Linked DNA regions of Drosophila melanogaster. The protein of the gene in region 4 interacts with the protein of the main gene of each other region in a pairwise test. Each region holds a gene or a part of one and is shown on either strand. Other genes may lie near its edges.

Region 1 (7,872 bases), on a different chromosome or scaffold from region 4:
TCCATAGACGACTTGACCGCTCTGCTGAAGAATAACCCCATCACGTCGGTGAACATAACGATCTCCAATCCGCAGATCGAGAACAGCAATATATCGCAGTCCTTCAACTGCATCACCATCCGGCCGGATAGTAACAATTGCTCCGATTGCACGAATGGTTCTGGAGTAGGCGATGGCCCGGCAACCGATAACCCAAAGTGGACAACACCTGAACTGCTGGCCTTCAAGCACAACCTGGAGTTCCCGGATAGCGGCAATTCGACGCCAGCCGATCGCCAAAAATCCGCGATGAAGTGCCGCCATTTCTCCGTTGACCTAAGCCAAATGCGATCTCTGCGCCTTTTCTTCAATGACGACAACTGCACTTCGGGTCAGCTGGTGATCGCGTCGCGGGAGTCGCAGTACAAGATTCTACATTTCCATTACGGTGGCTTGGATCACCTGGCCCAGGTGCTGCACCAGTGGCACTGCTTTCTGCACAACATCACATCGGAAACGGGCCAGGATAAATTCGATTTGCCGTACAGGCACTTCATGGTCTGTCGGCCGGAGGTTAAGAAATCGGAAATGCATCCGGACGAGGGCGATGTCAAGAAGATAACAACGAACTTTTTCTACGGCACGCTGCTCAATGAGAAGGGACAGATCGAGGACGACTTGCTGCTCCGGAAATGTGTCTTCTTTGGTGGCTTGGAAAAGAGTCTGCGAAAGACGGTGTGGCCATTCCTTCTAAAGTGCTACTCATTCTCCTCGACATTCGAGGATCGCGCAGTGCTCATGGACATCAAGCGGCAGGAGTACGAGGAAATTACGCGAAAGCGCCTGTACTCGATGTCCCCAGAACAGCAAATTCACTTCTGGAAGACCGTGCAGATTGTGGTGGAGAAGGATGTGGTTCGCACGGATCGCACCAATCCGTTCTTCTGCGGCGACGATAATCCCAATACCGAGGTCATGAAAAACATTTTGCTTAACTTTGCCGTATACAACACCGGAATGTCCTATTCCCAGGTGGGTCCTAGATCCAGTTAATGGTTAGCTCGCTTCTTCAAATTGTCCTTAATATTTTGGTTTATAACCCACAGGGTATGAGTGATCTCCTTGCGCCTGTCCTGTGCGAAGTTCAAAACGAGTCCGAGACCTTCTGGTGCTTCGTTGGCCTGATGCAGCGGGCCTTCTTCGTCTGCACTCCCACCGACCGGGATGTGGACCACAATCTGAGCTACCTGCGCGAACTGATCCGGATAATGCTGCCGCACTTCTACAAGCATCTGGAACAGCACAACGACTCCATGGAGCTGCTCTTTTGCCATCGTTGGCTGCTATTGTGCTTTAAGCGCGAATTCACCGAAGCGGTGGTCATACGGATGTGGGAGGCGTGCTGGTCAAACTACTTGACAGACTACTTTCATCTGTTCCTCTGCCTGGCCATCATCGCTGTCTATGCGGACGATGTGGTGGCACAGAATCTACGCCCGGACGAGATGCTGCTGCACTTCAGTTCGCTGGCCATGTACATGGACGGCCAACTGATCTTGCGAAAGGCGCGCGGCCTGCTCCACCAGTACCGCCAGTTGCCGAAGATTCCGTGCACCCTGAGTGGCCTGTGCAAGCGTTGCGGTCCGGGAATGTGGGACTCCGAGCATCGACCGGCGCTGGAGTGCGTGGGCCACAGTGATGACGAAAAGTGCTCGCTTTCTATTGACTAGTTATCTAATATATACACTGTTTAAACTCAGCAATAACTATTGTTGGCGACTGATATAATTCGTCATTAACTATTAACTATTAGCACATGTATTATGCTTTGGAATTATTAGTTTGCTGCCCTGCTTGGCTCTCTAAATGAATTTAGCCATTTACTACGTTTAAACGCCCCGCTTTATTTGCAATTGATAATGTTGAAAGTTACAGATTGGTCGTCTTATTTGCGAATTTTTTATCCATTTATATTATTACTAATTACTTAAAGCTTATGTATAAACAGAGTACGTGGTTTGTTAAACTTATTTTCGCAAATAACTGGCAAATAAACGTAGTGTGCAATTTTTGTTTCTGGTTATTAGCTTATATTATACCAAAGATACACAAAAAATGTAAAAATAAATCAAGCAAGCAAAGTATTACGAATCATTGGAATAAAGTTCAAAAACTGAAAGGGTTTAACTCAGATAATTAATTTAACAATGATTTAATTATGTTCTGATTGGTCCAACAGTTCTATTTGAATATTAGTTATGCTAACTTTATTTAATAAAATCGTAATTTGTGATTAAATTAGGAATTTTCCTTCACTTAACGTTAGCGTTAGTATTGAGCATCGGATCTACGAAAAGAATTACATCTGTGGTAACTGATCAATGGGAGTGGTAAACTTAAAGTCCTCGGGGAAAAGCTTAGCTGCGTGCGGATACATAAGTTTGTAGGACTGTCTGATGGTGACGTCGGCCACACCGGCTATATCACCGATTTCCTTCTGGCTTCTCTTATGCTCGGATGCTTGTGAGGCCATATAGATTGCGGCTGCGGCCACAGAAATTGGCGAACGTCCCGGTACAATATCCATCTCGACGGCTTTCTTTGCAATGTGCGTGGCAGCGCGTTGGACCATGTTCGGCAGGTCTGATAAGAATTATAGGTATTAATCCTGCTACCTTCAAGTACAGAAAGTGTAAAAACACTTACCCAAGTTGGCGCAGAAGCGGCACATGAAGTCCGCAGTGGTTATGAGATCCACACTTGTCTCGAGAGCCTTCAATGTTAGCTTAAAGCAACGGCCAATCTCTTTTTTGCTGATCTTGCTGACAGCACATATTTCCTTGAATGTGCGAGGAACTCCTTCTTGGCGACAAGCTATATACAGACAAGCGGATGCCTTGGCATCGTTGGAACGACCCTTGAGGTTCTTTCCATCATGAACCTACAAGAAAACGGCATGAGGTCTCAACCAAATCAACCGCGAACTCGAATTTCACCTGTTTGAACAAGTTGTTGGCCCGATCGACAATGGTTTTGGGCAAGTTAATGCGATCGGCCATCGAGGATATCTCCTTAAAGGCTGATATGAGGGAGCGATCCGAGCTGCTCATGGTGCGTCTGTTTTGGTACTTGGGTGCTCCAAAGGCGTCAAAGGATGCGGATCCTGTGCCCGGACCAATTATGGTGGACAAGTCGCCGCCACTGAGCAGCGGATTCTCCGGTCCACCGACACGACTGGGATCCACGCCGCTCTTCTCGTTGCTAAAGGTACGCCACTCGGAGCCCACATCAATTACGCGGTCCCCAACCACCAGACCACACTCGGAGCAAATCATATCGCCAGCCCTGTAGTCCTCGATGAGCGGAGATTCGGGGTGTGCGTAGCAGCACACCTTGTTGTTGTCCAGTCTGCAAGCAGTAAGCCATTATTGGTGTTCACAAATTGTTAGGAAACCCGACTTTTACCTCGATGTCGATGCCATTTGTACTCTGTAAGCTATATATTTTTTTAATACTCACATCAACTGGTGATGTGACTTTGCCCGATAACTCGATAGCTGCTTAGGTTTTTGCTTCACAGAAATCGGAATATGGGAAAGTCAACTTTAATAATTATTTTTCTGTATTTTAAGTTTTCTTGCTGTTAATAATAACTTAACCACCTTTAGCATTTTAGCAATCTGTTTTACTTTCACAATTAATGTTCTATATTTTAAGTTTCCATGCTGTTAATAATAAGCACCATTTTAACTTGATTAAAAGTTATTAATTCATAAATAAAAATTTTTAACAATAATAGATGTTTTTTGTCTAGCCAATTCCAAATTAACGCATGTTATTATTTATTTTTTAAGCTGTTTCTTTTTCACCGTTCCATAAGCGAGACAGGCCTTCAACTTCGCAATTTCGCACCCCACATAAACATGCGAGCATGTTCAAGCATTTGGAAACGTGGCAACCCTGCTCGCTTATTGTTATGGCAACAACAGGATGCCGTGCTAAACAAACTCATTGACATGAGAAAATAATCAAGTTCCGCATTGATGTTCGTAGTTTGTACGAGTTTCGGCTGTGCGAAAAATTTACGGCCAACCTTAACTGGCCCTATATAAATTTCGAAGAGACTATACTCTCCGTGGGGCGAACCGGTCACTGCACAGCAGTCGCGAAATGTTCAAAAACACTTTCCAATCGGGATTCCTATCAATTCTGTACAGTATTGGCTCAAAGCCACTGCAGCTGTGGGATAAGAAGGTGCGCAATGGACACATCAAGCGGATCACCGACAACGACATACAAAGCCTCGTGTTGGAAATAGTCGGCACCAATGTCAGCACCACGTTCATAACATGTCCGGCAGATCCGAAGAAGACGCTGGGCATCAAGCTGCCCTTCCTGGTGATGATCATCAAGAACATGAAGAAGTACTTCACCTTCGAGGTTCAGGTAAGCTTCGTCATCTTGCATAAGACAGTAACTCCATGATTTCCGCCCCTAATCAGGTTCTCGATGACAAGAACGTGCGGCGAAGGTTTAGGGCCAGTAACTACCAGTCGACAACTCGTGTCAAGCCTTTCATTTGCACCATGCCCATGCGATTGGACGAGGGATGGAACCAGATCCAGTTCAACCTGTCCGACTTCACGCGTCGCGCATACGGCACCAATTATGTGGAGACACTCCGTGTACAGATTCATGCAAATTGCCGCATCAGACGCGTCTACTTCTCCGATCGTCTCTACTCGGAGGACGAGCTGCCGCCGGAGTTTAAGCTCTTCCTTCCCATTCAGAAGCCGGTGCAGAAGTCCAATGCGATTTGTAGCTAAATTCTGTATGCATCATCAATCAATTAGAGCACCTAACCAGACGGAGTCGACGATTAAAACGGCACAAAATGCACAAGACTGCCATCCAGCACTCATTCAACACTTTATGGGAATCACGAATAAAAATTGCATCATGTACATAAAATTCTATTGATCTCTTGTAAGTATCTCCGTTCCCGTCTCGGTTATCAGAATGGTGTGCTCGAACTGGGCGCTACGTGCGCCATCCAAACTAATGGCCGTCCAGCCATCTTGCAGCACTGCTATTTCTGCTCCGCCCAGGGACAGAATGGGTTCAATGGTGAAGGTCATGCCGGGCTGCATCTTTCCAGGAATCTCATTATCTACGATGTGCAGTTTGATTAGCAATGGAGGAGTCTCTTAAACAGTCTTACTTACAATAGTGTAGTATCTCCGGGGGGCCGTGGAAATAGCTACCGATTCCATGTCCAATGAAAGCAGCTATCGATGCCAGATCATGTTCGTCGCAATATCTGTCTATGAACTTTCCAATCTCATTGAATTCCACACCGGGGCCGCACAGCGAAATGCACTGATCCAAACAGGATTTAGTGGCCTCCACGAGAAAGCCACCCCGTTCGTCCACGTTGCCCACCCGAAATGTTTCCGAACAGTCGCCATGGTAGCCGTTCAAAAAGACTGTGACATCAATATTTATAATATCCCCATCGGCCAACTGCCGGTCATCCGGAATTCCGTGACAGGCGATATTGTTGATCGACGTGCAAATGGACTTTGGGAAGCCGGCGTATCTCAGCGGCGACGGATACGCTTTGGACTCGAGAATTCTTTCATGCGCAAAGGCATCAATCTGATCGGTGGTTGTGCCAACTGTTGCTAGTTTACCGCATTCGCGCAGTATCCTGGCCGCCAGTCTGCCGCTTAGACGCATGGCATCAATCTGAACCTGGCTTTTGATTTCGGGCGATCCCAGCGTGTTACCCGGTGGCATATTCTTGAAGTAGTACGCCGGTTTCTTGATCTCCTCGGGCACAAAACGTTCCGGGGAAACTTGGCCGGTGGACACGATCTGTTCATATTTGCCAGTATCTCTGTAAGTATACCCATCAGAATAGAGTCCTGAAAGAGATAAGCCGGAGCCCATACCCCTTAACTTTGCCGAACTGAAACAAGTTTCTGGCAGTCGTTTTCTGGCGCATTAAACTATTTAAAAGACCAATTCTTCTCATTTTGTTTTGATTATGACATTTTTGCAGTGTGGCAGTGCTGTAAATATTTTTACAGATAACAGCCGAGTGTTAGGGGTATTCCCCCTTTTTTGATAACGGCACAGTGCTTCAAGTTTTTGGAAACTAAACAATTTATAGAGATGTAATATATATTTATACATCCTTACTAACTCTTTGCATTGTAATCTAATAAATAAAAGAAAATCGAGTTGTTTATTGTACTTTGTTTATAATATAATATCTGCAAAAGTGTTTAAAATATTATTTATGCCACATTAGGTTCGTATTTGTTTCGTACATGATCTCCATATAAATTAAATTTTCCATTTGCATCTGGCATGACTGCGAAGCGTGCAAGGGGAAACGAGGGTGTTGCAGAAATTTAATATATCTTTTCGGAATTCAATAGAAGTTGTGCAAAACAGCACATGGAGTTCCTACGATCCTGCGGCCTATTTTTCAGAATATTATGTGTATTATATGTTGACATCGCTCATCATTTACTTTACTATTAGCCACACAATAAGACTTAACTTTACTCGGATTTTTAGGATACAGTCGACTTAAGAGCTATTTAATGCATAACTTTAAATTCTTAATTAAACAAAGAAATCTATGACCTCTTCTGTGATACTATTGCGAATCAGATAAGCCTCCGCGCAAAAGAGAAAACATTTGTTTCGATTTTGTCAATTAACGTTATCTCTTACTGGAGTAATGATTTTTTTTTTTAATATTTTTGGATTCTAAAATTTGTGAGTGCAGTTCGGAAAACGGAGATTAATACATTTGTTACATTTTCAATGTACGATGTCGGTATTGCATAGTTTATAGTGTACTTTCGATTTTCGGTTTATTTCTCATTAAATAATTACAACTTAGGCGCTCCCCTCGATTATGTATCTTTTGTATAATATGAACGAAATACGCGTTGTCAAACGGGCCGTGGATCGCTCGCTTGTTTACTCTGACGTCGATTGATGATGTGTGCCGACAAAACACAAATGTCCCACATCTATGCACTTATCCATCATCCGCTTATGCCGGCAGCTGGAGCTTCTTGCCCTTAAGAACTTTGGTAATGTATAAGTAGAAGAAGTCGCAGTACAAGACGGTCTGGACAACTCCGGCGAAGATCGCGATAAGGTCGTAGTGCGACTCGACCATGTACCGGTAGACCCAGTTGAGCAAGTAGAGTGCACGGTACGATCCCAGGGCGAAGAGGTAGTGGCTGGTGATGGACTCGGCCTCGCCGGTTCTGCTCACTAGGAACAGCTGCGGCAGAATGGCCACCGATTCCAAATAGATCGAGAATGTCCACAGCACTTCCATCACGGTAAACTCATGATTGATCACCAGCGAGAGCAGGGCGCACGGCACCAGCAGGAATTCGATGCGGAACGAATCGTGATTGTGGTCATAGGTGGCCTTAAACTTCACGTACATCAAATACACGGTGGCACCGGACGTGGCCAGGAACAACACCTTCATCACCGAGTTGTACAGGCTCACGTAGGTGGTGAACAGATCCAGGTAGCGCGTCAGATAGACCACGGCGAACAGGATCTGCGACTTGCCCGATATTCCGGCGCACGAGCGGGTCTTCCATATCTTCAGCAGCAGTATTATGATGGCAAACACATGCGACAGATCCCCAGCAAAGCGAAAGATATTCATCGTGATCTAATCCGCCGACTTGGCTACTTGGCTGCCCGGTTGGCTGTTTGATTGTTCTACTTCCTTTCGCTGCGGCTGCGTCACGGAACGCACGCCTATATGAAAATGGGAGTGTATACTATAGCAATAATGGCGGCATTCAGTGTTTCAACAGCTGCATACGTTACCAAAATGACTTT
Region 2 (7,546 bases), on a different chromosome or scaffold from region 4:
CCTGTTGTCCACCACTTCTGTGCCGGATCCGCAGGAGTATAGCTCCACGCCGTTACAGTTTGCCGGTGATTTGGAATCGGTTACAAGAAGATCCTATGGTGTACCACTAACGAGTCTCGGCGGTGGCTATCCCGTGGAGCATGTCTCCGACTCCCAACTGGACAGCATTATCTCCGGGATAGTGTACAATCATCCTGCCTACGATCATTACTCCACCGAGGGCAGTCTGGTCGATCCGGAGCCAATTCAAAAGCAACAGACGACGGATTTTCTCAAGAAACTCATCGATGGCCGGCTGGGCGGCTGGGGTTTCGATCAGGGATCGGAAACCGAGCACAGTTTACACAATGATTACTCCACACAACCCGCGAAGACCTATGGCTATAATAGCCAAACCCAAAATGGCTACAGTATAGACACCTATAATGCGCCACCCATTACGGATTACCTGAGGGCCTGGTTCTAGTGCCCAATCTAACCAACATAAAATACATAGTGTTTAGAACTTAGTTTAAACGAAAAAAAAAAAAAAACAGAGAAAATCATAGACGAAAAGTAAACAAAAAGAAAAACAAAAGACAAAAAAAAAACAGAATATAATAAATTGAAAATACATTGTGGTGTTTCTTTCTTTATTCACCCAACGTCTTCGTCTTTCTTCTCTTTGCAGCTACGGCGAAGACGCGGGCTACGGCTACTGAAGAGAGATCTTACATATAAACCAACAATATCAAAACCGAAACCCAAACCAAAACTCCAAACCGAATGCAACCCAACCCAACCCAACCCATCGATCTGCTGAGCTCGGCTTAAAATCCAGCCGAAAGTAGGCCAGTGGAGCACTCCGCTTTCGGGTCTCCATTCGCTTGTATATATGTACATATATATATATATATATGTATCTACGTGTACTATAGAAGTTATGAATCCAACCTCCGATTTCTGTTTACGTTTTCCGCTTTTGTCGGCACTTCAAGAAGTTGCCCCAATTAACTGGTTAATAAAGTGTTTGCCTGATTAAAATGTGCTCGATTCGATGATTTGGGGTTCCATTGGGTGCACCTTTGGCATAGAAAGAGCTAGCTATATGATACCCCTAAAAGTATGCCCACCGAAATGAACAGCTCTTAATCCTAAGCATTTCAAATATTATAATAGCCTAATGGCATATTACTTTGATAAATAATTAAGGGTTTTAGCATTTATTTACCTAACACAATTCTTCTGTTTTTTAGTCTTAGTCGTTAGTCTTAGTAAGCTCACTTATCATTAAAGAGCCAGTATATATAATATATATGATTTATTTGCATACGATCACGATCTGTTAATGGCCAAATATTTATTGTTCTACATAAACAAATGGTGGTGGTGGTTCATCATTCAGCGACAAAATTCTTGCGATTGCATACTATTGAAAAGCCAAAAGATACTCGCAACCGAAAGCCACAAAAAACTCACTGAACTTCGTGACCATAAGAGCAAAACATTTCTAGAAGAATACTCAAGATTCATAGGTACTAAGTAATAATAAATAATGTATAGTATGCAAAATGCAATAACTGGTTATTAATCTATCGTTTCAGACTAGAATTTTATAAAATATGTCAGGCAGACTTACTCACTTATCCTTTGATTAAAGAAGTAGGGTGTTTAGTAACATAGTTTATTGTGCGATTTTTGTAGAATCGAATGCGATGTAATCCCAAGACCTTGTAATTCTCGGCATGTCAACAATGTTTTACAGCATCCAATTAATGGCACATACACCCATTAAAAAACCAACTAAAGTATCGTTAAATTATTGCAAGCGAACCCATTGACTAGTGCCAAAGAATTCGAATGACCCTGGCTTGGTGTTTCTCACAGTTTTTTTTTTTTTTTTTTTTTGTTTTTTTTCTTCTCTCTGACGCATCAAGATCGCTGGAGATTCGTGGATGAGACATTTAGTGAATAGTGAATATGGCATATCTGGTTATAGATCACGTCCCGGCACGCCATTTTATTTTTTAACCGAATCGAGCTACTTTTGTGGGTATTTAAATGGATTCCATGGGAGCCGGGGCCCTCAGTCGAAATGGCAGCCGACGGCAGTTGGCCTATACTACTCTTGTTGGTCTCAACACAGGCCATTATTCACGCTGAGGTGGGTTCATTATATACACTCCGTTTATACAATAAATAAATAATGCTTGTATATTCTTCATTATTCGTTCAGAATCTAAGTGAATCCACGCCCGGCCCCGATGAGGAATACAATGTGAGCACAACTCCGGGTGCGCCGCTGGAAGAGACCACCAATCGCTTGGCTGCTCGCGTTGAGCCATACGATAAGGGTGATCGGGAGCAGTACGATGTGATCGATGTGGCCACAGCTACCGGTACGGTGATGGGCAAGCCCAGAAGTGGACAGACCACGAGAATCTACACCACCGGCGAAGTGGACGAAAGCTTTTGGCTAAAGCATCTGGGCGATGACTTCAAACATGCCATCCATCTGCAGGTGGGCGGCACCAACGAAGAGTACAATCGCCTGATTAACCGGACCCAGAACGGTGTCCACGAGGAGGTGCATCACGAGTATTTACCGGGGGCCGAACGACCTGGCAGCGCAGTCCAGCCTCCATCTCCTCTACCTGCGCCACACCAATCGCGTCCAGCTTATCGTCAGGGTTTCGACAATCGAGCCATGGCCATGAAACAGCAGTATCTCATCCATCAGCAGACCCAGCAATCGCATCCTGCCCAGCAACGCTATAACTATGCCCAACAGCATGCACAACACTATGCACCACAACCACAACTGCAACCGCAACCACAACCACAACCACAATACCCACAGCACACACCGCACAGAAACACGTATGCAATGCCTCAGAATTATGGGCAGCAGAACTACAAGCCGCAGAGTTATATTATCAACTCTAGCGAAGATCAGCTGCACGCCGAGCAATCGAATCCCTCGCCAATGAAATCAGCTGGAGAGGATCGACAACATCACGAGGAGGAGTTTGACTCCTTTGGCGGTCAGCTCAACTTCAAATCACCCTTCAATGACTACGGCAGTCGACCAGCACGAGATCTCACCTACCTTCTTTATAAGCGGGGTCTCTAGAAGCTAAATCCATGTCCACGTCAAACCAAAGACTTGCGGTCTCCAGACCATTGAGTTCTATAAATGGGACTGAGCCACACCATACACCACACACCACACATACACACACGCCAACACATTACACACAACACGAACTACACAAACACTGAGATTAAGGAAATTATTAAAAAAAATAATAAAATTAATACAAAAAAAATATATATATATACAAAAATTTGTTGTGTTTGAATTGAATTAAGAGCTTATCAAGAAAAAAATTTCAGTGACTCATAATACACTACTCTACAAGTTTAAATTGAATCAACAATTTAACTTTCATTGCTCAGGTTTTTAGTAACAATGTTTATATAAGTTTAGGTATAACAAATGATTTAAATATAAGATACTGTATTTCACATTGAGACGAAACAATCCACCGAAAATCATAAAATATAAGAATGTTGCATTTTATTTTTAAAAATAAAGATGCCTTTTAAGAGGAATAACTTAAATGTCTTTAATACCTTTGAATTTAATTATATGGCTAATAAACACAAACTTAAAGCTTAAAACTGCATCGAATTGAATGCGGTTATAAATGTACTTATATATCTAATATAATCTGCTAATATGGTTTACATGGTATATCTTTCTCGGAAATTTTTACAAAAATTATCTATTCATATATCTCGAGCGTAAGATATTTATCAGTTTATAGATAACATCTTTAAATTTGGGTGATTAAAAAAAAACATTGCTGCAGGGCATGTTTATGTACACATTTCAGTATAAGTCCCAAGTTAAAATGCAATGTAAAAACATATAAAGGATATTAACTTCAAACCCAAAGGATTGCAGAGAGATTGCAGCACAGCTGTAATCATCGCAACAAGGCAACCAAAACGAGACTCTCGTAGCGTTGGCATCATATTCGATCTTTGGAAGAGCTATGATTCAAGCCAAGGGAAACAACTGCCAAAAAATAGAAGATTGCGACGAGCGGAAAGCAGAGTGGTGCACCACGGTGCATAGGTGCATAGGAGGTTGGTTGTCTAGAGATCTGGGCACGATGGCGAGACAAAGATGCGGCGCAAAATCGGAAATGGAGATGGATCACGTAGCCGGCCATGGCGGGCAGCGATTATAGGCGCTATAAAGAGCCGGAGTCATCGCCAGACAGCGAGCAGTAGACGATCCACACGTAAACGGCAACATGCAACTCGGTCTCTGGTTTGGCATTTTGGCCATCGCCGCCACGCCGGTTAGTAGCTTTTATCCATGGCATTCGCATTGGGCATCCCGCTAATCTCGCAAACTCTCTCTCTCTCTCTCTTACCTCCTCCTCATTAGCTGGTGAGCGCTAACTATGGTCCCGCTGGCGGACACGGACACGGACATGGACATGGACAGTACCTGTCCGGTCCCAATGCCGGACTCGAGGAGTACGTGAATGTGGCGTCTGGTGGCAACCAGCAGGCTGCCAATCAGATCGCCTCACAGGCCGAGATCCAGCCCACGCCGGAGGAGGCCCGTCGTTTGGGTCGCGTCCAGGCCCAACTTCAGGCCCTCAATGCCGATCCCAACTACCAGAAGCTGAAGAACTCCGAGGATATTGCCGAATCTCTGGCCGAGACCAATCTGGCCAGCAATATCCGTCAGGGCAAGATCAAGGTGGTGTCGCCACAGTTCGTTGACCAGCATCTGTTCCGCTCCCTGTTGGTGCCATCGGGCCACAACAATCACCAGGTGATCGCCACCCAGCCCCTGCCACCAATCATTGTCCACCAGCCTGGTGCACCACCAGCCCATGTGAACAGCGGCCCACCGACTGTGGTGCGCGGCAATCCGGTGATCTACAAGATCAAGCCCTCGGTCATCTACCAACAGGAGGTGATCAACAAGGTGCCCACTCCGCTGAGCCTCAACCCCGTCTACGTGAAGGTCTACAAGCCCGGCAAGAAGATCGAGGCTCCACTGGCCCCGGTGGTTGCACCCGTCTACAGCCAGCCCAGGGAGTACAGCCAGCCCCAGGGTTATGGTAGTGCCGGAGCTGCTTCCTCCGCCGCCGGTGCCGCCTCCTCTGCCGATGGCAATGCCTACGGCAACGAGGCTCCACTGTACAACAGCCCCGCGCCCTATGGCCAGCCCAACTACTAAGGTGCTCATCCTGGGCATGGGTTGCTCCTCAGCTGCGACAGCTGGTTTAATTTAAATTTTTGTTTTTTTTTTTCTTTGCCGAACTACTGAGCGCAAATAAATGAAAAAAAAATACTTGAAACGTAAACGTTTTGTCATCAATTATTTTCGACCGGAAGGGGCTACCTGAGTGGCAATGAAGCACACAGATTAAGCACATATTTATGAATATATAAATATATACGAATGCATGAGAGAACAAAAAATTATATCTAGTTTTCTTCAAAAATAAATAATAAAGGGGAAAATGGTATAAAGTATGAACATAAAATTATGAACGAGTATAAATAAGTTTGTAATTGAAATCTCTACGGTCATACAAGTATTTTAACTATTCTATAAATATGCATAAACATGGTACGCATTTTATGAGATACAATTCGAAAGATATTGGATAGCATTATCATGCATGAAATTATTTCACACTCTTGTGATGGTAGCTATCTTATTCCAGTTATCGTTTAATTGCAAAGAATGGGATCAAAAGGTCATCTTTATCAACATATTGTTGATTCCGGAATGAATAATAAATAATAACATAACTATGAATTAATGGAGCAACTATAATTTTACGGCCTCTTTTCTTTTAAACAAAGAATATAGCACTTTTAATGCATTAAATACGTATTTAAACCTTTTCTTTTGAAACGCCAAATTCATATTAGAGTTTCATAAGATTGTTTTAAAACATAACAACATAATAATTGAAGAATTGGAAATCTTTTTAGGTGTTTGTAAGCCTTTGAATTCCTAATTGGAATAGCTAAAGATCCATATTTCATCTTCAAATCTCTTTGCAACTAGAGATTTATTTTATCTGGCAATTATTAAGTATACATTTTTATATGGTACTTTAAACTGATGGTTTAATCAGTTACATGGATTTTCTAAATTAAAAATGGTCATGTGAAGATAGCCACTCTTCTAACAATCTAATCACATTTATAGTAAGAAATACAATACAATACAATACAATACAATACAATACAATACAATACAATAGAAAGACAATCGAATCTGCGCAATCCGTGTGAAATTCAAGGACTACAGCTGGGTGGCTAATCATTTCCCCCTATCCACTTACACCTCGGATTACCTCTTATTCCGACTCCCGGAGTCTTGTGTCTGCCAATGCGGAACTATTTTCGCTATCTGAACAGACGTTCGGACCTCGATATGCGGCAAAGATTCACAGCCCGGCTGTTGATTCCGATTCGGTGGCAATGTGTTCGTTGTTATTGTAAAACGGGCAATGGCAACTGGGCAGTGGGCAGTGGGGTTTTCGGGTTGTGGCTTCTACGTAAGTGGAAGAGACGCCGTGATATGCGCTGGCAGCGATGCGTGCGATCTATCAACATTTGGCCATGTTTCGTTCGCATCGCGTGGGCCCGGAGCGGAACAGCCGGCACCGGAGTTGGCATCAATCCAAATGTCACGTACCCGGAGCCGGAGACGCGTCCGGAGCATATTTAAAGTAGTCGGCCACCAATGGAGGGCAGCAGAAGACAGCAGACAGTCCAAGCGGGAGCACACCAGAAGCCGAAGAGCAACTGGAACTGCAACTGGGAGACAAGATGACGAGATCGACCTACATTTGGGCGCTGGCCGCCTGCCTGATCGTAAGTGTTCAAGCTCGAAATCTTAGGATTAATCCCAAGAAAACCAAGTCTATCAATTCTGACTGCTTTCGTTTGTGCCATGTAAATCGTACATGAAAAGCAAATTGACTTTCCTTTAAATTACTTGAAACGGAATCAAGCTATCTATCGATGCTAGACTTATTTTAAGTATATGTATATGTCGATCCAATTCTAATCCACCCCCCCCCCCTCAATTTACTTTTAGGCCTGTGCAAGCGCCAACTACGGCAGTTCCCAGGGCTATGGACCCGAGTCCGGAAGCGGTGCCTCCGATGGCGGTGCTGATGCCGCTTCAGCGGCCGCAGCAGCTGCCGGCGGTGCCGGTGGAGCTGGTGGCGAGTACGGTGGTGCTAACGCCGGTGCTGGTGCTCTCGAATCCGGAGCCGATGCCGCCGGTGTGGCACAGGCTGGCCAGAGCAGCTACGGATCCGACCAGAACATTCCGTACAAGCCGGTGAACACCAAGGGTAACACCCTGACCTCATCGATCACCTACCCGCAGAACAAGGGCGAGATCCTCATCCATCGTCCCGCTCCCATCATTGTCAAGCGTCCGCCCACCAAGGTGCTGGTGAACCATCCACCATTGGTGGTTAAGCCCGCTCCCGTGGTGCTCCAC
Region 3 (9,650 bases), on a different chromosome or scaffold from region 4:
AAAACGAGCTCCCGAAACTCTCTTTTGACTTTGGCGGTTTGCTTTGCATGTATGCGGTGTGGCAGGGCCCAAAGGGGCGCAACGCGGCGGGGGGCGTGGCAGTTGGCCGATAAACTAGGCCCAGTCAGTCGCGTAAGTCAGGCGGCAGTCGAATGGGAATGGGCGCAGGAAAATCAATTCATTGGCCCTGAACAGATTTCCCTTTATCTCCGGCAGACCCAAGACCTTTCATCTCTCGACTGGTCGTCGGTCGGCTGATTTGCATATGTTTTGGTACTTTGGAACCTCGGTACTTCGTACGTATGTAGTTGCGACAAAGGCCCTCATAATTGCTTGATTTAGCGACCCATTCAAGGCGAAAAGTCGGCGCCAGCCGCATCTCAGTAACTTGGCTTCCAGGCTAGCACCCGGTGTAAATTGTCGTCCGCGAATGCTACGTGTGGTGCTGCCATTACACTTGTAAAATAGTTGGCCAATAATGGGAAAGCTATGGGGAAGCACAATAAAATACGATTCCGAATAAGTAACTTCGATCTCTGAACCTTATGGTTCCTACAATATACCTTTATAGATACTATATTTATTTTGTCCTTTCTTTCTCTGTTTTTCCAAACAGAAAGTAAGTCTTTTGAGTTCAACATCGAATTCTATATTTTGTATTCCTAAAAAACTTTTTTTTTTAATAGCAACTTACTAAAATCGTAATTTTAATCTCTGTGCAGATTCTTTCTGTGTTTTTTTTTTAGTGGTAGTGGGTGTCTTGTCGCTTAAATTGCCAAGCAATTCATAAGTGTCAACGCGTCTCATATGAACGATGGTAACAAACTTGAGCAAGGGGGAAATGCTGGAGCTGATTTATGAGTTTGCTCGGTTTCCCGAATGGGTTAAGTCACAAATAGAACAAGTTTAAGAGTTCAAGCCGAGATAATATTTTAATAAATCCAAAAAATCACTGTTTTTCATTCCGTACCTTAATCTCTCACTCTCGACTTGTATAACTTTTTTTCGAAATAAATGCACAAAATCGAGTATCCCTGTAGTAAAGAACGGTTTTTTTCAAAACATTCTCGTTCTCTTAAGCTTACTACTTTCCCATCCTGTTGATTTCCAACTGTTCTCGTCTCGGCATACGATCAAAATATTTGCATAAGCAGCGTCCTGAATTACAGTTTAAGCCAGTAAACTCAAGCCAACAGAGTGCAAAGGGCCAACACAGTGGTGAGCAGCGTCATGTGCTCGCTGCAAATACAGATACACAGATACAGATACACCGAACCTGAGGACTTAAAACCCACCGAAGACGACGACGACAGCAGGCACGCGCCCCGATCCCGAATCCAAAACCCGAAAGGCGATTCATGAACTCAGGTACTAAGGGAAGGCAAGAAATGAGCAACAGCAAGGGAAAAACAAAAAAAAAAATACGAAAAAGGACCCAAAAATGTGCAACTGTTGGGCGATCTCATATGATCGCGGTCGGGTGAATAACCCGGAGAGGTTTCTTTAAAGAATCTCGATCTAGTGGAGCTTAGTTTATAATTTTCGACAGGAAAAAGCTGCTGCTGCTGGGAGATGAAAGATCTTATCGTATCTAATATCTGTGCGCGGGTTCGATCAAATTACAGTTCCGGTCAAGATTGAGCATTTGGTTCCGCTTTTTGTTTCGGGGATGAAGACAATGCAGCAGGGGCAACCGTTAACCTTAAGTTAATGATTTGGCCGATGCCTTTGCTTGCTGGTTGCTGCCTGCGCTTCAAGTGCAGCATATGGCATTTTTACTCCTCTTGCTGCGGCTTCAGCACAACTGACGCAGGATACGCAGGATACCCGGCCTACCTACGATCTGGGTTTCGGATCGGCGGCTCACTTCCTATCCTCCACATGGGCCCGCCAATCTGCCCATATCTCGCCCTTCTCTCTCGAGTATGTAAAAAGATCAATCAAATATTGTGTATTCCCTCGCCGAGTTCGATTCTCCCTAGGTGGAATTCTACTCGTATCTAGATGCCCACTTGACTTGGGCTGTTTTTTTAGGCATTTATACCGTGTAATAATAGGGAATGGGGGTGCACAGGGTATCGTTGGGGTATGATGGGTGTAGCGAGCGTATGAGGGGAGTGATAAGAACTGGCCAAGAACGTGGCCAATTGATATGAAAATCGCTATACCTCACGTTTTCGGACGATGTTTTTTTTTTTTGAAACATTCTTTTATTTATCTTTATTAAACGTTAAATGGGATAAATTGAAGTGATTAACTTAAACTCCTTAAATTAAGGGATTCTTGTTAATAGTTCCGTACTTCGTGTTTTCTAGGTCATCTCCTAGTCCTATGCCCTTAGAGCCGAAACTCCTTTATTTTTTTCCGGTTGCTTAGCTGGCACATTTTTCCCCGACTGCCGCTGCTGGTGTGCACCTGCTTTTCGGGAACAGGACGCGCGTCTTTTGACCGCAATCGTTGCCAGGACTGGCCTGGAAAGCAAAACCAAATAGCGCTCTTACAAGCCAGGTCGCTTAACTGTTTAGCCTGACGCGCTTACATCGCAGGGGATCGCACTTATGGCTTTTGAGGACGCGACGAATTATCCTGCAGAGCGTGTGCCAAAAAAACAAGAAACCGCAGCCCGCTGCTTTACACAAATCGCAAAGGCAAAACGAATCCGAGCCCCACTCACTTCGTCCTGGCACGAAACCACTTTCGTTTATTTTAATTTGGCTTGCGGTCAAGGGGATCGGTGCTTTGGGGGATTGGGAATGGGAATGGGGACTGGGGAATTGGCAGCCAGCCTGCTGCAATCTGACAAGAGCCTGCTGCATTTAATAACTGTTTTCGTTTTTGCCGCTGTTTTCTTATGCCCTACAAAGAGGAGCCACCAGCTTAAGCAGAGGGCTTTTAAATATCTTTATAATCAATGCTATACAGCAAATTTATCTTTCATGATTTGTTGTAAACGCTCATTCTTTGGTGAGAAATCCAATAAATTCTTAAAACTCTTTATTCTTTTTTAGCCCTTAAGAGTTTTAAATCCTAAAGCGTATCATTTAAACATGTATAAGGAAGATCCATAACTCCTTTTTAGATTTAAGAACAAGCGTAAATTAGCATAACTTGGCTGGTTTTTAATAAACAACTTTTTCGCTTCATTAAATAAAAGCTACCCGCAAAAGGGGATTCACGAATCGGCTTAAAATAAGATGACTCCTGGTGCTTTTTTATATCCCAACGCGTCTTCCCGTGTCTGCAAGACGGAGCCCCCGAGTGCTCACGACTTGGTCGTGGTATAGGAGTCAATGGCAATCCCGTTTTGTGGTGCACGTGCCACAATTTGCAGCTTGCCACGAGATGTTCACCGGTCGTTCCAGCTCTTATCTCGCAAAACAACGCGCCTCGGACTTAATTAATTTTTATTTATGTTAACGAGGACTTTGCTTTTAGTTAAATCAAAGTATAGGGTTCAGATGCAGATCCTTTTCGACTCAAGTTGAACTTTTGGTTTTTGTATGCTAAAAAGGACGCTTTTGTTTGATTGAAGCCTAACTAATTTACCGAGAAACGTGGGTCTTTTTGATGAGATCTACCAGACTTCGAAATTCATACCTGTTCTTATGTAATAAGTTATTATTTAGTATAAGTTTCTTTATTGATATTTTAGATCAGTTCAATTGTCAATTTTTATTCGCCTAGCAAAGGATATTCTTAAAATCATAATTTATATAAATACAATTTTCTCCATTTGACATATTTTCTGAAAAAGTCAACAAAGCCCAAAAACAAAACAAAACGAAATGATTTTTGTTGTATTTTTTTTTATTAAATTTAATTTAATAATTCTGAATTCAAACCCGTACAATTCTGTACATCTGTAAAATTTTACATACATCATACGTTTTAACGTTTGCAGCGACATCTAGTGGTGGTCTGGATTTTCCAAGTTCAAATGTAGAGTTCTCTTGGTGTTTTCCGATTAGGTGATCCTCAAGTGATTATCAACCATTCTTATTGCAATGTATTTAAACAACTTTAAAGGTTTATTTCCTCTTAAAAATATGTGGTTAGAAAAACAACTAAAAAAGTTTAAGAGTTCAAGCCGAGATAATATTTTAATAAATCCAAAAAATCACTGCTTTTCATTCCGTACCTTAATCCCTCACTCTCGACTTGTATAACTTATTTTCGAAATACAATGCACAATATCACAGGCTATTTTCGATTAGTTTCAGTTCTTTTATTCCATATAGGGTTGGACATCATGCTCCATGCGAGCGGCCTCAGTTTCTGCACCCACGGCGCAGGCTAGTAGTGAGTTGACCGTCTGCTCCTCACCTGCCTTGTAGACGTATCCATTAGCCTTGTCGATGTGATTGCGCAAGCGGAGCATGCTGTCCGTGCTGAAGACGTCCAGCAGTTGGAACGAAACGAGAGCGTAGTCCTCCACCATGGAGCAGATGGCTGCATTCAGTTTTCGATACTTGCGCATGGCGGGATCATCGTCCAGTTTGTCCAGCAGATACTTGAGGTCCAGGACGTCCGTATAATAGTCCACGTTAAAGTGTAACTTGGTCTCGTGCTTCTTTAGCAGATCGGCCTTGGAAAGCACATTAACGTGGGGTAGACTCATCCGCAACATGGTGTTCAATGCCATCAGCAAAGTGGCAATGAATTTGGCAGGCTCCGAGCAGTAATGGGAATCTATAAGGTTAACGGTGACCAGGCTATATCTTTCACGCTCCAAACGCTCGAAAATCCGGGCCATAGCGTTGTGATGGGTATATAGCTCAACTTGGCCGGGACAGTCGAACAGGAAGTAGTTGTAAGTGGCGCTTAGTTTGCGCAGTGCCGGCAACAGCCAATCCTCCAAATGGTCGGCCAGATACTCAGCGCAGTGCATTAGAGCTCCGTTTGGTCCCAGCTTCAGGTGCTCCATGCAATCCTCCACAGTGATTAGCTCCATCACACTTAGCACCGGTTCGTAGGACATGTTTTCGTTGGCTGGATCCAGATTCACAACGCCCACCTGACGGCCCAGTTCGCGATAGAACTTAAGGGCCTCACCGCAATAGGTGGTTTTCCCAGAACCAGGAGGTCCTATGATTAGCTGTCCATAACGTGGATTCTCCACGGTCGCCTGCGTCGGAAATCTTTGCATCATTCTTGCGGAAAATGAAAAATATAAACAATGGTAGAGGTGGGGAACCACAGAGACCGATTAATTTATTTGGCGCAATTTATCGATATTTAGATAGTTTTTGAAAAATATACATTTTATTAAATTAGATAAAAATACAATTTTGATTATATATTTCCTTTTCAAATATAGGAAATTGAAAACTCAATCCCAAAAAAAAAAACAATTTTTTAGTGTATAATTAAAAACGGTAGCAATTAGTAGTTACTGTTAGTATAAAACACAGAACAATATATTTTTAATTTCCTTCCAGTTCACTTCGCTGTTAAAAAGGGGTAAACGCAGCGCAAAGTCGATATAAAGCAAAGAAAAAACCATCGATGACGACGATGGTGAAAACATCGATCTTAGCCCACCACTAATCGTCGGCGAACTTGAGTTTGGTGTTTTCATTTATCCGCGGAATTTCGCACTAATTAGTAAAGGCTTCAGGAGCACCGAGAAATCACCAGAATGGCACAACCCCAACCACCGGCGTACGAAAACAGTGAGTTGGAATCCCACAGAGATAAACTGGAGTCATGAATCCGATCCCACTCCGAATGTGATACGTAGAGAGGGGGATGAGTCAACAGGCGAAAAACGGTAAAAGCAGAAAGCAATCGCCGGAAGCACCGTGATTATGCCCATAAATGGGCATAGATGCATATGAAAGACCTTTTTAAGCAGTAAGAGGAGGCGCGTGTGGAGCCGTTGGAGCGACCCCGTTCCCGTTCGCTCCCCAAAAACGAAGCCGCACCCTATTTTCCACCCACTCCAATTTGCCGGCGTTATCTGAGTAGCAGCAGTCACAGCCCATTTCTAATCGAAATAATCGCTTAATTGCAGAAAACATCTACGCAACTCTGCCGCGCACCCAACGCGGCCAACCCATCGTTTTGGGTGCCGATCCCAAGGGCAAGAACTTCCTGTACACCAATGGAAACTCTGTGATCATCCGGAACATCGAGGTAAGCTGATATATGCTGCAGCCTGCTGCTCCGTTCCTGCCATAAATCCATGGCATTTACGTCCAAATGGTGTTTTATTTTTGGACAGGCTGCAGTTTCTGTTGCCAGTTTGTGTGTGCTTTCTGGCTTTCGGGCAGCTGTTCTATATTTATTTATATATATATGTACAGTATATAAGGCGCAAAACACAGATTCCCATTCCACAGGCCAACCGGCAAAACACAGACTGGCACATAGATACATTTCTTGTTTGCCGCCCACGCATCATCATTATGATGTTTTCATCTGGTCAAAGTGATTCTTCACAGCAGCTATGTGTTTGCCTATCTTTCACCCATTGAATCGGTATAAATTCAAAATATTTCCATGTTTCTTTGTCTTTTGTCCCGATAATCCCGCCACTTCTATGGTATCTTTAATGATCAAGAAATAAAATCTTCCGCCAAAAGATATTCAGGTTCTGGAAAATGAAATGTTAATGAAGGAAACATACATAACAAATTCAAAACCAAACACCTATGTTCATAATTAGGATCCCATTTACCATTAATTTGTTTTAATTTGCTAAAAGTGTCTCTAAAATATGTATGTATGCTTTTCCCTTTCTTCCGCACCATAGAATCCAGCCATTGCCGATGTCTACACGGAGCACTCGTGTGCAGTGAACGTGGCCAAGTACTCGCCCAGCGGATTTTATATTGCATCTGGTGGTAAGTCTCGCCCAGCAATTTCACACTTGGAGCACCCGGCTTTCGGCAACAGAGCATAAAAATCGTGACCACTATGAGTCACGCCACGGTCATGATTAGCATTTCCTTATTTGGAGCGGTTTCTTTATCTTATCTGCGGTTTTGAAGCGAGCAATGTTATTTATTTGGCTTTCTCCTCTTCTCACCAGACGCCTCCGGCAAGATTCGCATTTGGGACACGGTCAACAAGGAGCACCTGCTTAAAAATGAGTTCCAGCCCATTGCAGGACCCATCAAGGATATTAGCTGGTCGCCAGACAATCAGCGCATCGTTGCCGTGGGTGAAGGACGCGAACGTTTCGGTCATGTCTTTATGTCTGAAACCGGCACGTCTGTGGGCGAGATCAGTGGCCAGTCCAAGTCTATTAACTCGGCGGACTTCCGGCCAGCCAGGCCATTCCGCATTGTTACGGGTGAGTTCACATAATAGTCCCAAAATGCAATAAACTTACTTACACACACACACTTGTTATTACAGGCAGCGAAGACAATACTATCGCCGTGTTCGAGGGACCCCCGTTCAAGTTCAAGATGACCAAGCAGGATCACTCTCGCTTCGTCCAGGCTGTGCGCTACTCGCCCGATGGCAAATTCTTCGCCTCCGCCGGCTTTGATGGCAAAGTCTTTCTGTACGATGGCACCAGCTCTGAACTGGTGGGCGAATTTGGATCTCCTGCCCACAAGGGCGGCGTTTACGCATTGGCCTGGAAACCAGACAGCACCCAACTGCTAACCTGCTCCGGCGACAAGACGTGCCGCCTTTGGACAGTGGAGTCGCGCGAGCTGGTTAGCGAGTTTGTGATGGGCACCACTGTGGACGACCAGCAGGTGTCCTGCTTGTGGCAAGGAGACAACCTAATCACCGTCTCGCTTTCGGGCGTGATCACCTACCTCAATGTGGCGGATCCCTCGAAACCGCTGCGTGTGGTGAAGGGCCACAATAAGCCCATCACCGTGCTGGGACTGAGCGATGACCGCAGCACCATATACACGGGTAGCCACGATGGCGTGGTGACCAACTGGAACTCGGGCAGCGGCACCAACGATCGCATCACGGGCACTGGACACGGAAACCAGATCAACGGCATTGCCGCCTGGGGTGACTTTGTCTATACCTGTGGCATCGACGACAGCCTACGCCAGTTCAGCGTGGAGGGCAACTCCTACACGGACTATGTGGTGAAGCTTAACTGCCAGCCACGTGGCTTGGCCATTTTGCGCAACGAGAACATCATTGCACTTGCTTGCATCAAAGAGTTGACTCTCGTGCAGGACCAGAAGAAGATCTTTTCGCTGCCCATTAAGTACGAGGCTAGCTCGATTGCCGTTAATGCGGACACTTCCGATGTTGCTGTCGGCGGGGATGACCAAAAGTTGCACATCTACACCCTGAAGGGCGGAGTATTGGAGCCCAAAGTGGAGCTGGATCACTTGGGAGCTGTCACGGATGTTTCTTATTCGCCGGACTTGAAGTATTTGGTGGCTTGCGATGCCCATCGCAAGGTGGTGCTCTACTCAGTGGAGGAGTACAAGGTATTAAGGAATCATAAATGTCTTAATTCCATTACTAATCGAGTGTATTTTAAAAGCCTGCACACAACAAGGAGTGGGGCTTCCACAGTGCTCGCGTAAATACGGTGGCCTGGTCGCCCAACTCGCTGCTGGTTGCTAGTGGATCATTGGACACTACTATCATTATCTGGTCCGTGGCCAATCCGGCCAAACATACTATCATCAAGAGTAAGTATTTCAAAAAGAGTAGTAAGCTTTAAGCGATATCTGACATATTGTTTTCTGCCCACTCCAGATGCCCATCCGCAGTCGCAAATCACTCGGTTGGTCTGGCTGGACAATAACACTGTGATCTCCACCGGACAGGACTGCAACACCAAGGTGTGGCACGTGGAAAACATTTAAATGCGCCGGCCGTGAAGCATATTTTTATACTTATCCAGGGAGAGCAGCCAGCAGCGCCCTGGCTTCATTTCATTTAAGTGCAACAGTTTACATTTAGATATTTATGTCTTTTTCCCCGCCCTCCCCGCACACCTCATGTCATGTCTTTAATTTTAAGCCAAAAGTGTTTGCTAATCATCATATCATGGATATTCAACTACTTTGCCCCACTATCATTTTCGTATGTGTTTTTCGAACAATTTTTATACTACTGGAACTACGAACTACGAAAGGAAACACAAAGATATGTAAAGTACGCCAGCGTACATAAATTATTGTATTATGAAATGAAATATACTAGTTTTTGCATAGCTCGCCGATTACTTTTCTCCATTTGGTTGCGATCGGGAAAATTAGCTAAACACGCACAATTTCTTTGGCTTCTTAAACATTTATTCCTTTGAAAATTGTGTTTTTTTTTTTTTTTGGTTTGGTAGGTCTTCACCCTGTCTTTTTGTGTGCAAGTGTGTGTGCGTGTTCAGGTGTATAATTACAATATTTATAAAAACTTGGCTTAGATTACTAGAATGTGTGGACGTGTGCTTGTGAGAGAGCGTGAAAGCGAAAGGATTGTGTTTGTAACTTGCAGTTTGAGAGCCTCGGAGGTTGCTAAAGTTTCAGAAAAAATAAACGTAAATTGTGCTAAACGTAAGTACATAAATTAAGATAGCTAGAAAGGCGCTCGAGTGCAGAAGACGAAAAACGAATTGCGCTAATTATCACAGCCGGGTCTAAGACGTTGGTTTCGGTGGGACTAAAAGTTGACATATTCATATGTTGGGCACCTCATGAGTGGGTGATGAAAATTGG
Region 4 (6,763 bases):
CCGCCAATGAGTTGAGCTACCTCTTAGGATGTGCAGTGTTATCTGCAACATAAGCTCGAAGAGATGGGGCAGGAGGAGCAGCAGGATCGGGAATGAGCAACTAGAGCCGCAGCGGCGGAAGACAAATGGCCAAGGCGCGAAGTGTTTGCAGGCCGCTGCCATCAATCAAAGCGGTGGACTCTAGGACTGCATCTTTTCGTCATGCAGTTAGATTTATGAACCTCCGGAATCGCTGTGCCTCCGTCCATTCTCGTCCCGGTCATATTGTAAATCATTTCCAAATTATTTAGTCGCTCTCGTTTCATATATATATTCATATTTTTGGCGCCTTTGCTTTTGCTCGTCGACGTCGAATGTGGCACGTGATTGCGTTATAAATTACAAGCCATTGGGATTCATATAGTCCTCGCAGCCCTTCCATTCCATCCCTCCGTGCATCGTGGTCTCCTGCTGATAGTTAATGTTCCCCGGCATCCGTTCGGCATTTCGAATTATTTTCGAATCCATTTGATGACCCACTAGTCCACTATCTCCAATACTCCGGTGAATTCCAATCGAATATGCTTGCAGATGTCGCGTTTGCATGCCTGCTATCACCCAATATGAATCCAACTACCTGGAAGGACTACAGGCGATCATCGCTATACGGAAAATAACCATTATTAAAGATTAAGAATCTATGGGACATACAATCTCCACTTGACATGTTGCATAATAGATATATTTATAGGGATTTAAACCTTTGCTGTGCAACACTTTGTGGTTAGTATGATAAAAAACTGCCTCCACAAGAACCAAACCTTTTTGAAAAAAGTACATTCGCGCTAAGGAAGTTCGACTGCCAAAGCCATATGTGTTGCATGTAATTTAATATTCATTATATGCACTATAAACGCTGTGCCACTACGATTGCATGATCTGTCAATCTGCCCAATTGCCAGGACTATCTGCCCCCTTATTTTTCCACCTTCCAGTGTTTTCCTCGTTTGGCTTTTCGGGCGATAAAAACGAAGCGAAAAGTGCCGCTATCTATTAATATCGCTTTTGGCTTTTTCGCTGGCGGCTAGCTGGTAACTGGTAGTTGGTAGTTGGTAGTTGGTATTTGGTAACTGGGAAAAGCTGGGAATGAAAAACGCTGAAAACTCCTAACGAACGACACCTGCCCTCGGAAAATGCCACTACTGCACCCCGCGAGAAACTTTCGCCCCATTTGGTGGCGTGTGTCTCGCTTTTCTTCTTGCTGTTTGCATTGGTCGCCCCTTTTCCTTTTGGCGATACACTGCTGCTGATGTTGCACGAATGTTGTAAATCAAAAGTAGGCGAGTCACACGAAGGGTCTTCCTGCCCCCCCGAAATCCCTGCCACCGCCGATAGCCGCTGCTTGCCAGCGCCTCTGCTGCTGCGCCTATTTGACTGGCAGGCCGAGCGGATAACGCTGGCAATTATCGCGCTTGTGCCTCACGAACAGCGGAAGCGGCAGAGGCGCCACATCATGTTACCCGGCCCGATTCCCCAGACCTTCCACATCCCCAAACTCTTTGTTAGCCTGCATCCTTTGCTTTCTTTTGTACCACTCGTTTTTCTTTGTGCAATCCAATTGGTAGCGCTCAGAAAACAAAGCAAAAACGATTGAAAATAACAACAACCAGTCCCGGCTACAAGTCCCCCAAAATATGGCAACAGAAACAAGAAGAAAAAAAACGATTCATATACGAGTATAGCCATGCACCTAGACCACCCCATCCGGTCAGTCAGTCAGTCATTGAAGTCATTTATTGCCACCAAAAGTTTTTCGCTGTTTGCCATACCCTCGCAGAGGTTATTACGGCTCAGACTAGGAGCAGGACACGAAGGATCTCAATGGGTGTAGTTATCGTATACAGGACTGTAAGAAGTTATAACCCAATGACATTACCTATAGGACTATCATTATTATCAAATCTTAATGACACACATCTATATGTGTATATTTCATAGCTGAATATGGCCATATAAATGAGATGTTTCTCTTGCAACTAAACCTACTTTTTAGGACTATATATTGTGCATACACATAACACGTTTTCATTAGAAAGAAAGCTTAATAACAAAGGGCATTCCATGCTTCGGTTAACCAATCGAGCCTCACTGTTGTACTTATTTTTACTTCTGGTTGTACTGTACTTGTCTTTGGAGCTGGAGCGGATCTGAACGACTCCTTCCCGGGAAGGACCGTTCCGTTTCAGTACGTTCCGTGTGCAGGATATGTTTACAATTTGCGGACACGCCGACCGTCATTTGATTGCTCCCCTCGCGCTTGTCGAATTCTCGGTTAATTCGCCAGGTGGCTTCAGACTGCGCATTGCCATCGGCGGCGGGGGGAAAGGATTGGGAGGCTTTGGGGCGGAAAAATGGGAGGGCAATGATAAGCGTTCCTCGTTTGTTTGCTCGGAAGCCTCACGGAAGATGACGTGCCCGGGATGGCCCATAAATGAGACTGGCCAAAGCAAACAGACCGGATACACAGGATACATTCAATCAAATAAGGCTATTCGTAACCGGAAAAGGGCAGGACGACTCTATGTCTTCCTCAATCTGACCAAACACTCCGCTAATCGTATGGTTAATAACTAAAATACCTGTGGATAATCTTTAAACGTTTTCAATATGTAAGTCAGTGAGATACAGATACAGTAGATTGAAGCTTTCTGACTATATAAAGTATTTACTTATTTATGATGAGCAAAATTGAATGTTGATGATGAACATTTTATTTGTTCCAGCAAATTGTTCAAATTCAAATTAAAAGTAATGGCGCCAAAGATAGAATTCATCTGTTGACGAAGGCTGGCAGCTACAGAACAATCTAACTAAGCTATGGGATTCGTTTCAACACACTCGTCGTAGAACTCCACTAGTTTTGTTTTCTCACTAAATTAACATGCAGCCCCGCGATCTTATGCGCATTTTAATATTATTCTGCTTGCGTTTTGCATTTAACTTTTTGATTGTTTACCTCCAAAAACATAACGCCGTTCCAGTGGAGCAGAAACGGCTTGGAACCCTCGATAGAGGCAAAAGCTGGAGGCTATAAAACTCGCACAGCTGAGTTTTATTTTGCACGCGACATTGAATTTGATGAGATGGAAAAATGCATTATTTGCGTAGATAACTTGAGAAAATACAAGTGCAGCAAATGCTCGGCACCCTAGTAAGTAGCTATTCGAACAGTTCACTACGGAGATAATAAATGTCGCAAAATGTAGCTGCTCTGTGGCTTGTTATAAGACACACAGGGATTCGCCCCAATGTGCGACAAGGGAGTCCGACTTGAAAAAGACTGAAGTTGGCTACCAGGAGGAACCTACGCTTCATGTGCCCTTCCCCACCGACGACACAGTTGCCGCGGAGAAGCTCCAGCAACTAGGTAGGTGTTTAAATTCGCAATTATACACATTTCTCATAGTATGATGGTTTCCGTACAGAAAACTGCCAGGAACTGCGTAATTTGCTCCACAATCCACACCTGCGTTCGCTGCTCCAGCAGATTGATGTGGCCATCAATGCCCAGTCGGCCATGATGGCCGCCATGCAGGAGCCACTCTTCGTGGAGTTCGCTAATGCCTGCCTTCAAGTCGTCGAACCGATGACGGATGCTGAGCGCACTGAATTTGAGTTGTACTCCTGAATTAAGTTGACACACAGTCTCAATAAAACTAAGCCTTTATTTTGTAACTAATAGTACTGTCAATCCTTGGCAGCTTCTAGAGGAGCTTGCATTGAAGAACTCCTGGAAACTTCTCATTGAAATCCGCCGGTAAGGTTGAATCTTTTCCATAACCAGGGAAAACGTACAACTAATTATTTGGCTCGGCCATTTAAAGTTATCTATCTCAGCTGGCATATCAAACTAGTCATCAGTCTACAGCTTCGTTCCTTGGCAATCAAACTCAATCAAAGTAAATTGAAACTGGATCCGAGTTAAAAGTGATTTTTGGATGCTTCATGTGCAACTTGAAAAGCCTATGTTCCCCTTGCACTTTCCAGGTCATGGGGATGGGATCCTGTAATGAAAAATATTAGAAACGAAAGCTAATATAAGTTGTGAAATACTTAGACCTCATTAGACATGAGATACGTGTTTAGTTCCACATAAATATTAAGTGCTGTGGTACGGTTTTCTCCCAGTTTCTTCGCATCGAATGTGAACTCCTTAAATCCGAAGGTGCAATGGTATATACCCAGGACCTCGTGTGTGTTTAGGTTTTGTATTAAGGTATGAAACTTAATTTCGTCCACACAAACCGAATTTTGTATATAAAATTCATTGACATTAATGTGAAGATGCTGATACGCATGCATACCAAAATTAGCCACCTTTAGGGTCTTAATAGCCACATTTAAACCGTAAGTTTCACAAAATATGGATGTATTTTGGCTTATCTCGATCATATTTATAGTGCTTCTCTTCGCAGCTATGAGAATCTCTCTCAGAAATCCGTATCTAACGTGACCACAAAGAAATAGCTTCTTCAAGTGAGTTAGACGTTCCAGTTTCGATAGGAACCACACCATCATTTCCTCCTGGAAGCACTGCAGCTGCTCTAGGTTTCTAATCCCTTTCCAGGGCAGTTCTGTGTTCGAAATCTGGTCAATATCGAAGATACCCAGCTTCAGGGATTTTATTTTTCTGGTTTTCAGGATCTGTATCAAGTTGGTGACATTGAATTTGCTGCAGTAGGAGACCGTGAGGTTCTCGAGAAACTCGAATTCATCAAAGTGTTTGCCAGTAAACTTTCCATGGGGGCTAAAAGTTGTCAGATTTGGAAAAGTTTTCAACATTCTTGGCACGTCCGCATCGTTTAAGTTAAACGAATGCGTGGAAAATCGAAAATCTTTAAGTTTTGGAAAACTACAGCTGGTAAGTGTTTCGAAGTTAGATCTATTATTCATTTTGAGCCGCAGAGTGCTGAGGATTTGTTGAGTACTTTCCAGGAAGAATAGCAAATCCTTGTCGCTCAGCTGCATTTCAATCAAGGATATATATGCACATTTGTTATAAGCACGCCACACATACGGCATTAATTTCTTAAACCGGAAATGAAAGTCTTTCAGTTTTAGTTGGGTCTTCAAGTCGAGATAACTTAGAATTATCATTAGAACATCATCGGGCAGACATAGTAAGCCAGGCTTGGTATTCTGCAAAGGGCAAAAGAAATTAGGAAACTTGTATACTTATATTTCTGCTATATTGTTGCATTGCGGTACCATAAGATCGGTGTTTATCATTGTCGGTCTATATTCGTATGTTTAGCTAATATCGAGTCCAAATAAAACAATAAAATTATAACAAAAGTTTTATCAACATTTTTAAAATGATATCTGTTAATTTTGAGTATTTTTGGTGACAGCAGACTGTCAGCTGCGATGTTGGTTAGTCACCGCGTGCTGTAAGCGAATAACAGTGTGCTGTTAGGCGCACGAATCCCTGGCCAGCAAAAACAAACTGCAAAAACAATAATCCCCGGAGTTTTCCATCTGAACGCAAAATAATACACACCAAAACACAGCAAAATGCAGAAGTACGATAAAATGGAGAAGATCGGGGAGGGCACCTACGGCACGGTGTTCAAGGGTCGCAACCGCGACACCATGGAAATAGTGGCCCTGAAACGGGTGCGACTGGACGAGGACGACGAGGGTGTGCCCAGTTCTGCCCTCCGGGAGATCTGCCTGCTGAAGGTCAGTCGGACGAGCAGGAAGTGATTCCAGTTTATAAACTAAATCGGCACATTACCATCCGTAGGAGCTGAAGCACAAGAACATTGTGCGCCTCATAGACGTCCTGCACTCGGACAAGAAACTCACCCTGGTCTTCGAGCACTGCGACCAGGACCTCAAGAAGTACTTTGACAGCCTCAACGGGGAGATCGACATGGCCGTCTGCAGGAGCTTTATGCTCCAACTGCTCCGCGGACTGGCATTCTGCCACAGGTATACCTATATATGTATCAGCACTGGATTAGGTCTTATCTTGTGTCGATTATAGTTAGAATCAAGTGTTATTTGGAGTAACTTCATCTGTGGCACATTTCCGAATGATATCCATTTTATAGCATTGAGACTTAACTTACGCTACATTATCCTATTTTAGCCATAATGTCCTGCATCGCGATCTGAAACCACAGAACCTGCTGATCAACAAAAACGGCGAGCTAAAGCTAGCTGACTTTGGTCTCGCTAGAGCCTTTGGCATTCCCGTGAAGTGCTACTCCGCAGAAGTGGTGACCCTGTGGTACCGACCACCCGATGTCCTATTTGGAGCCAAGCTCTATACGACCAGCATAGACATGTGGTCCGCTGGATGCATTTTGGCCGAACTGGCGGACGCTGGACGACCGCTGTTTCCTGGCTCTGACGTGCTCGATCAGCTGATGAAGATCTTCCGTGTGCTGGGCACCCCCAACGAGGACTCCTGGCCAGGAGTTTCGCACCTCTCCGACTACGTGGCGCTTCCATGTAGGGATTCTAGACGGATTTTATTTATCGATACCAATATTAAAAGCCTATTTATATTATAGCTTTTCCGGCCATCACCTCGTGGAGTCAGCTGGTACCTAGGCTAAACTCCAAGGGACGCGACCTGCTGCAAAAGCTGCTCATCTGCCGGCCAAATCAGCGAATTAGCGCGGAGGCGGCGATGCAGCATCCCTACTTTACGGACAGCAGCTCTTCGGGACATTGAGGTCGGAAGGTTCTTTCCAAGCCACTGTTTTCACGACCT

The links.
Region 1: the proteins of CG8204 (region 4) and TfIIB interact in a two-hybrid assay, tested with the Drosophila melanogaster proteins (one large-scale study listed by BioGRID).
Region 2: the proteins of CG8204 (region 4) and Cp36 interact in a two-hybrid assay, tested with the Drosophila melanogaster proteins (one large-scale study listed by BioGRID).
Region 3: the proteins of CG8204 (region 4) and flr interact in a two-hybrid assay, tested with the Drosophila melanogaster proteins (one large-scale study listed by BioGRID).

What each region holds. Positions count from the first base shown.
Region 1 is NT_033779.5:10,426,992-10,434,863, reverse strand, and holds TfIIB (transcription factor IIB), read right to left. Parts: upstream 3,527-7,872; 5' UTR 3,462-3,526; coding exon 3,445-3,461; intron 3,388-3,444; coding exon 2,976-3,387; intron 2,921-2,975; coding exon 2,686-2,920; intron 2,623-2,685; coding exon 2,339-2,622; 3' UTR 1,748-2,338; downstream 1-1,747. Other genes in the region: TBC1D16 (TBC1 domain family member 16), read left to right, coding at 1-1,011, 1,086-1,709; Bug22 (basal body up regulated gene 22), read left to right, coding at 4,150-4,425, 4,482-4,805; CG5188 (uncharacterized protein), read right to left, coding at 4,953-5,149, 5,205-5,878, 5,934-6,016; KdelR (KDEL receptor), read right to left, coding at 7,055-7,693. UniProt on the Drosophila melanogaster protein: General factor that plays a major role in the activation of eukaryotic genes transcribed by RNA polymerase II.
Region 2 is NC_004354.4:8,475,053-8,482,598, forward strand, and holds Cp36 (chorion protein 36), read left to right. Parts: upstream 1-4,266; 5' UTR 4,267-4,304; coding exon 4,305-4,352; intron 4,353-4,441; coding exon 4,442-5,248; 3' UTR 5,249-5,471; downstream 5,472-7,546. Other genes in the region: Cp7Fb (chorion protein b at 7F), read left to right, coding at 1-466; Cp7Fc (chorion protein c at 7F), read left to right, coding at 2,075-2,143, 2,216-3,112; Cp38 (chorion protein 38), read left to right, coding at 6,862-6,906, 7,133-7,546.
Region 3 is NT_037436.4:13,407,304-13,416,953, forward strand, and holds flr (flare), read left to right. Parts: upstream 1-5,539; 5' UTR 5,540-5,638; coding exon 5,639-5,672; intron 5,673-5,702; exon of another isoform or gene 5,703-5,748; coding exon of another isoform or gene 5,749-5,770; intron 5,771-6,013; coding exon 6,014-6,135; intron 6,136-6,754; coding exon 6,755-6,845; intron 6,846-7,033; coding exon 7,034-7,297; intron 7,298-7,362; coding exon 7,363-8,417; intron 8,418-8,473; coding exon 8,474-8,624; intron 8,625-8,691; coding exon 8,692-8,801; 3' UTR 8,802-9,150; downstream 9,151-9,650. Other genes in the region: CG10222 (uncharacterized protein), read right to left, coding at 4,226-5,149. UniProt on the Drosophila melanogaster protein: Induces disassembly of actin filaments in conjunction with ADF/cofilin family proteins. Together with GMF, promotes Arp2/3-nucleated actin filament array disassembly. Essential for organismal and cell viability.
Region 4 is NT_033778.4:15,570,093-15,576,855, reverse strand, and holds CG8204 (uncharacterized protein), read left to right. Parts: upstream 1-2,864; 5' UTR 2,865-3,122; coding exon 3,123-3,190; intron 3,191-3,245; coding exon 3,246-3,406; intron 3,407-3,464; coding exon 3,465-3,667; 3' UTR 3,668-3,712; downstream 3,713-6,763. Other genes in the region: Cdk5 (Cyclin-dependent kinase 5), read left to right, coding at 5,554-5,721, 5,786-5,973, 6,134-6,498, 6,561-6,724; CG30466 (uncharacterized protein), read right to left, coding at 3,930-4,043, 4,099-5,178.